Linked DNA regions of Styela clava. The protein of the gene in region 2 purifies or fractionates together with the protein of the main gene of each other region. This does not show direct contact. Links are inferred from orthologs where the notes say so. Each region holds a gene or a part of one and is shown on either strand. Other genes may lie near its edges.

What was found. The genes of interacting proteins can lie anywhere in the genome.
Region 1: the proteins of uncharacterized protein LOC120338465 (region 2) and PAN2-PAN3 deadenylation complex catalytic subunit PAN2-like purify together in Homo sapiens (affinity purification with western blotting; 3 studies listed by BioGRID and IntAct, with this or other methods). This does not show direct contact. The link is inferred for Styela clava from reciprocal best matches to the Homo sapiens genes TNRC6C and PAN2.

What each region holds. Positions count from the first base shown.
Region 1 is NC_135254.1:1,610,465-1,614,223, forward strand, and holds the start of PAN2-PAN3 deadenylation complex catalytic subunit PAN2-like, read right to left. Parts: upstream 2,262-3,759; 5' UTR 591-2,261; exon of another isoform or gene 1-590. UniProt on the Homo sapiens protein: Catalytic subunit of the poly(A)-nuclease (PAN) deadenylation complex, one of two cytoplasmic mRNA deadenylases involved in general and miRNA-mediated mRNA turnover.
Region 2 is NC_135259.1:12,238,314-12,242,072, reverse strand, and holds the start of uncharacterized protein LOC120338465, read right to left. Parts: upstream 2,358-3,759; 5' UTR 2,265-2,357; coding exon 653-2,264; intron 162-652; coding exon 19-161; intron 1-18. UniProt on the Homo sapiens protein: Plays a role in RNA-mediated gene silencing by micro-RNAs (miRNAs). Required for miRNA-dependent translational repression of complementary mRNAs by argonaute family proteins.

The DNA of each region.
Region 1 (3,759 bases), on a different chromosome or scaffold from region 2:
GAGGGGGGGGGGGGGGTTCGAAAATTTTCAGAGAAGCCGGTAAATATGGGTTTTCATGCATAGCAAATAGTTTGAAAAGACATGATCCATTCTTTTTAAATTAATCATTAAAATTAATCACAAATTTTCAATAACGGAAGACATTGCTTGTGAACCAGAAAGAACTGTCCCGTAGACCTCTCGGCTTAGGGTACCTGTTTGAACTGCCATAAATTTAAGATAAACTAAAAAGGTCGGAAATTAGATGCTGGGCCCTAACGAGATAGCACCCAAATTAGAAAGTATAGAATGCATGAACTGCATAGTATTTGAAGCTTCATCTGCACATGGTAATGAATTTAAAAAACTAGAATATCGGTTAAAAGAAGAAGACTTATCGATCGAAGGTTAGGGGATCCCTCAAAACAGTGGTCTTACTCCATAGTGACACCGTGTGTCCCATCACTAATTAATCAATAACTCGCTAATTATAAGACATAATCCTGATCCGAGCTATGATGAATGCACATTCAAAATTTGGAGCAGATTCAAACTCGCTTTCGTGAGATATCGCGTGCATCTAACACACAGACATACAAACAGACAAAAACCTATCAACATACTTACCGATCTTAAGATCGATTAGTAATAACTGAAAATATTTCTAATGATTTTAAACCAGGGATGTGCAACCTTTAATACAAGAGGGCAAGGTAGGAATATCTGAGTGAAATCGCGGGCCGCACGTTTATTCAACATAGGCTTTCTAGTAGTTGCAAGCACAAAACTTTGGTTACTGATTTTATGACACGTGTTGTTAGCTCTGCATAAGCTCAGGTATAAGTTTTGCAATGCAAAGGAATAGGAATTACCTGCACATACTAGATAGGACTAAATTGAAAACTCGTTTCGTGGGCCAAACACTATTTAAAATTGGCACTTCTCTGTGGGCCTCATAATTTTTCCTTGTGGGTCGCATTTGGCCCGCGGGCTGCACAGCCCTGCTTTTAAACAATTATGAGTTTGGGTTCCTAGTTCAATTCCGACCCCATTACAGCCACCCCGAAGAATAAAGTGGCAACATAACAGAGGGATTTGGTTATGAGCATAAAAACAATGAAGCATGACTTGCAGCATTAGTTCCACATATTTCAAATGAGCATATTCTGCCAAAATATATGTTATGATAATTTTAGTTGAAAACGAGATGATTGCATTTAATCATATTTGAAAAAATGAAGAATGACTTGCAGCATAAGTTCCACATAATTCAAATGAGTATATTCTGCCAAAATATAAGTTATGATTCACAAGAAAAATCGCTATGATTGCGCTTTATTCTAAAAATGTGATGAGGCCTGATTGAAATCTGACAATATGTAAAGAGTTACTTTTATTATTTGAACTTGAATATGGAATTTTTCTTTTTAATAAATAAAATTAAACTTAAATCATAATTTTCAATCAACATCAGAATAGGCAAGCCTATATATAAATTTTAAAATAGCACCCAGTGGCGCAACCAGACCGTTTTCAACGGGGGGGGGGTCCGACAGGAATTTACACAGTGCAACCACGACGTAAGTCGCAACGCCTCTAGGTGTCGCCCCGCTGAAACGCGATAAATTGCTCGTGGTTAAAATGGAAACGCCATCGATTAAATCCCAGCCTTCAGCTTACCTTGCACTCGTTCATTAACGACGCTTCGCTATGTCTTGCACCTCGTGGGTAGCAAACACCGTTCATTACATTCCAGCGAATTGCTAACGAAAAGCTGTTAATTATTTTCAACATTTCCCTCGCTTTGCGCCTCGTGGATAGTGAAACACGGCTTGAATAAATTCCAGTGTTTCCCTAGTGCCGGCCTTGCTCGTTGGGTGAATTCGTCAAGACTAAAAACAAAATGCACTTCTTGCGAATGGACCTTTTCCCGACCCTAACCCCAGAAAAGTTCTAAACTAAACTGAAGCTCACCGGAAGACATGATGACAATTAAAATAATTGATTTACAACTAATTTTTGGAAACACAACTAAAAAATGACTAATTTAATGCAGGGATGTCCAAATCGAATTTAAATTCAAATATCGCAAACTTCAAATACTGTTTTTTCGTGTTTATAATAATCCCGAATATGGCGCACATATCCTAGCGTCGTCCATGTGTGGTTCGGCAATATATTACAGCTGACATGAAAGAATTTCGATAAACGCCGACTTGAAGAACTTATAAGACTTCAAGGACGTTTTTGATTGAAAATATTTTCTTATCGTGTATTTTAACTTAGTCGAGATGGTTCAGGCGTCCTCGGCAAATTGTGTCTTAATTAGTTGTTTTCATTCTCAGTTTCGATAGTGACCGAACATAACAGGAAATTTTTTCATTACTTGTAATGTAGCGCATATAAAATAGCTCTTAAATAGTATTTAATATCTATCGCAGATTTCGACGGCATCCGGCGTTGATGACAACATCGTTCAGTTTAAGTTAGCGGTATTCATTTACAAACAAAAATACATAACAGCCGACATGAAATATTCAAATCAGCGCAGAGTTCAAAAATAAAACACGTTTTATGGTCTTAATATGCACATAGAAAGAAGAAAGGACAGAGAAATAACGACTAAAAACTAAGAACGGTATGGTATGTTTGTGTACTTTTGTTTACCATCGTCATCATAATCAAATTAGTTAAACCCGATTCCCAAATTTCCGTCCGCCAATAATGGAGAATAAAGATGGAGAAACGTGTTTTACTTTTTGAGTCGGCGTTGATTTAAATTTTTCATGTTATGTGTTATAATTTTTCGATTATAAACCAATACCTCCAACTTAAAATGAACGATATTGTTATTAACGACGCCGGGATAACGATAAAATCTCCGATAGAAACCAAATAATATTTAGAAGCTATTTTATAGAGTGCAAGAAATTAAAAAATTTCCCGGTAAGTTCGATAACTATCGAAACTGAGGATGAAAACAATTAATTAGGGCAGGATTTGCTTTTAAGTTTATTGCCGAGGCGCACAACATATCTTGACTAAATTGAAATATACGATAACAAATGTAAAAAATTTTCAACCAAAAACGTCCTCGACGTCTTATAAGCACTTCAAGTCGGAGTTTATTGAAAACCTTTCACGACGACTGTTAGTTATTGCCGTACCACACATGGCTGCGATAAAAATCAATATTTTTCCGAAAATAATTTTCGTATCCAGATTTTGAGAGTTTCTACTGCATTATTATAACATGAAGACGGGCGGCGATACATTGCGTCAAGATGATGAAGCACGAGAGTATTCGTCACAAGAGAGAAAGAGATAGCATTATGCTATTGTCGCTTTCAATTCGCATCGACAGCGCGCGATTTCTACCTTTTTGAGGTAACATATCTCATTTTCGAATACAAACATATACGCGGGGATAGCGATTGTTACGTAACTAACAGCAAAAAGGTATGATTGAAGTCGGGCGGTGTTAAATTACGTCGAGGTGATAAAGCACTGGAAAAAAGTAGTTTTCACCGGATTGTTATGACCGTGGAACGACGTTGTTTGAACGTAGAACGATAATAAAAAAAAACGAATTTCAAACGGGGTGGACACGACCCCCGTAACCCCCCCGCTGGTTGCGCCACTGATAGCACCTCTTCCATTTACCATTATTTGACCTGAATCATTCAAGCGCAACTTGGCAGAATTCACAGAATTCATAAATCATTGAAGCGTTATTAGACAGAATTCACACAATCTACAAACCAATGAAGCGTTACTAGA
Region 2 (3,759 bases):
TGGTGTTTTGATTATTACCTTGATTGATGTTTGATTCCAACCAGAATTTGCATCTGTTTGGCCCCACTGTTGTCCGGGTTGTTCTGGGGTGTTACCCCATCCACTTGTGTTACCGGCGCTTGGTTTGTTGCCCCAATTGCTATTTTGGTCCCAGTTAGATCCTGAAAAAATATTGATAAATGCTGATGAATATTTTCGTGAAATGAGGTGAACATGAAGCTACGTAATTGAAGGCTGTGCAAGTTGTCATAACTGTGAAATGGAACTCGTGAAATTTAGAAACAAAGAACCAAAATTCCTTCAAATTCGTACACTAGTATGAAGTTGTTTAAATTTTTTTCAAATTGGCATATTTCTCTTTGCTCATGACAAGCTCCAAATGCCTTTGGAAATGAACATTCCAAATGTTACCAGAGCGACTCGAAAAAAAGGGTCCAGTAATCCAGGATGCTTTGCACAATAGTTACGCTCTCTTTAGAATGTTAAATGAATTGGATTCTAAATGTGAACATTTCTTAGCTTTAATACATTCATGTAGGTAATAATTGTTAGTCCACTCATTCTTCATGATTCACATTTATATGAAATAAGATAGACTTCTACAATAAGAAGAAACACTGTGCTTTAATACAACCAAATATCTAGCTCGAACCTGAATTAACTGGTGGTGGTTTTCCCCAGTTAGAAGTCCCATTGTCTACATTAGGTTGCCTGACTGGTGGGTTCCCATCGCCCCATCCAGTGGGTGAAGGTGGTTTGTTTGACAAATTTTGTGATCCTGGCTGTGCACCCCAGCCAGTAGGTTCTGCTTTTGTTTTGCTAGCGTCACCCATACCCCCCATGTTCATTCCCATACCCTGTTTTTTATCCCACATATTCACGCTTTTGTATGCGGTTGGATCTCCCCATGCCGAGGTTCCATCATCAACTTGACTGGATTGACGTTGCATGTTTTGTGTTTGGTTCCAACTACTCTCTGGTCCAGGTCTAGTGTTCCCCCAATTAGATTGGGGGTTTCTTTGTGCGGCATTACCCCAACTGCCACCATCTGTAGGAGTAGTATTCCCCCAATTACCCGAAGGATTGTTACCCTGTTGCACACCAGAAGCGCCCCAACCTTGATTTGAATTTGGCATAGCTGTTGGAGGCGTGTTCCAGCGATTGACATTAGCCGTTGGCATTGGGGGAGGTAAACGAGCCTCACCCCATCCCGGTTGTGCTTGAGTTGGTTGCGTTGCACCACCCCATGATGGTCGGGGTTGTTGTGGTATTGGATTGGAATTAGGTCCCCAACCACGTACGCTAGGGGTACCAGTAGCAACGTTATTATTACCTTGCCATCCCCCACTGGCAGGCTGACCCGCAGCAGTCTTACCCCAAGCTTCTGTGCCTGTCTTATTTGGAGGCTGCCTGACAAAGTTCGGTGATTCTGATATATCCCAGGATGTGTTTTGTAGGATAGGCTTCTTCCCCCAACCTTCATGGGAATTGACAAGCTTTTGTACAGGGTCATTTGGATCCACGTCACCATTAGGAGGAGCATCTTGAGAATCTGATGGGCTTTGAGCCTGTTGTAACTGTGTTTGTGCCTGATCTGTTTCTGTATCCTTCAGTACATTTTGTTGTGAAACAGGAGGTTGATGACTCGCTTGTCCTTGTGCGGGTGGTGCAGCAGCGGCAGCTGCCCAAGATTCGGGCTGTTGCGGTATTGAATTATGGTGTTGTGATGGCCCAGTCTGAAGTTGTTGTTCGGGCTGTGATGAAATTTGTGCCGCAGCAGATGGAGTTGTTTGAGGTGGGATATTCCAAGCTGATTGAGCAGGACTTTGATTAGATGGAGCTCCCCAACCACCTGATGAGCCTCCAGTGTTACTTGGCTTTCCCCAAACAGCAGTTCCGTTGTCTACCTGGGGCTGTCTGGACCAATTATTTCCCCCACTATCTGGGACCCCCCACCCAGTAGTACTTTGTTGAGGAGTACCCCAACCATTGCTTGTCGTTGTGGTGTTAGTATCGCCTGAAATACCCCCACCACCCCAACCTCCAGGATCGGGTTGTTGTAAATTACCCCCAAAGCTCTGACTCGGTTGTTGATGCATTTCTTGTCCTTGTACTACTTCTTGCTCTGAACCCAACTGTGGCCAACTTTCCGGATGCAAAACAGGAGAGCTGACTGTGCCTGATGGAGCAGCCCCCCAACCTGCGTTTGTAAGAGAAGATTCGTTACTATTATATTTCGTCTGCCAGTCAGTGCCAGAAGTCATTCTATCACAAAATCATAGAACGCATGATCAGCATACCAACTTTCAGAAAACATGTCTAAAAAATTATTCTAAATCTGTTGAAAAAAGTTGAAATTAATCACCATATTATTTGAAAACTGAACATTAGCAACTTTACACATTTATCAAGAAAAATGCTTTGAACTGACGTAACTATTAATTTTTTTTTCTCATTTGATTTTACATATCAAGTTTGAGGCAAAAAAACATACAAGAGAAATTTAACATAGCCTATATCAAAGGCTCAAAAAGTTATCTATCACAGGCCATGATGCATTGAAAAAAATTGACTTCATTAATCTACGACAAAGAAGAGTCTTACAATTCTTCACATTAAATCGATGCTACATGTGAGCTAGTTTTTATTCATATAAACGATATTAATACAACTGGAAACAGATATCTGCAAGTTGTAGTTCTTTCTCAACACTAATTTTAACGAATTTTATTGTTTATTAAATTTTAAATGAGGGCACATGAACTATAATTTTTAAAAATATGGATTGATATTTTGCGACACTCTGGCTTATATAATTTGTTATATCATGGGTAAGGAGGTAATAACCTTTATTGATTACGGAACTAATCGGATAATTGGCCAAATAATAATCTCCATATATAGCTTGGACGAACAGTAGAATACCTACTAATTAAAAACATTAATCAACAATTGGATCTAACAAACAAAATAATTGAAAAACACCCAATGATATGCTTACAATGCTTAGAAAACACAAGCATATTTCTATATATAAGAAATGAAAACTTCCAGTATGCCATAAAAAGATCAAAAATAAAACTTTAGCCTCCAATGAAAAATAGTTTCGATATCCTAGAAAAAAAATTCCTTTTCAATGAAATTATTATTATGATTTCCTATATGAATTCATATTTACTGGACCCTATTTAATTTTGGTTGCAGTGGACAATCGTCAACAATACAGTACAACTGTTTTTCAGTGGTTTTTCTAATAGATGAAATCACATTTGTAGGATAAAATTTTCAAACTTATCCTGAAGGAGGTAAGACGGCTTAATCATATGCCGATCCACGACTCACTTTCGGTTGCCAGTTCATATCGAATATGGAAATAGCTAACCAGTTATTTCTTTCAGATGTATGGACTTGATGGTGGAGGATGCCGTAACTTACCAGCCCTCACATGAATTATGATGAGTTTACTCTTGGCATGATGACTCAACTGCTGATAATATGTTAGCAATTTAAATTTGTTTATGGTATTCCTATAATTTGCAGACCAACTGAACAGGAAGTTCAATATTCTGAAAGCTAATAAACTTGTGAATGGGAGAAACAGCAGTCCCGCGCCTGACAATGGCAATAATTTGTGATCCATTGAGATATACCGGTAAGAGTTTTTTATTACAACAATTGATAAAAGAGTTTAATATAAAAATTGATTATATATTGAATTTACGTATGCACGGATATTGCCTTATTCATATGGCATTTCAT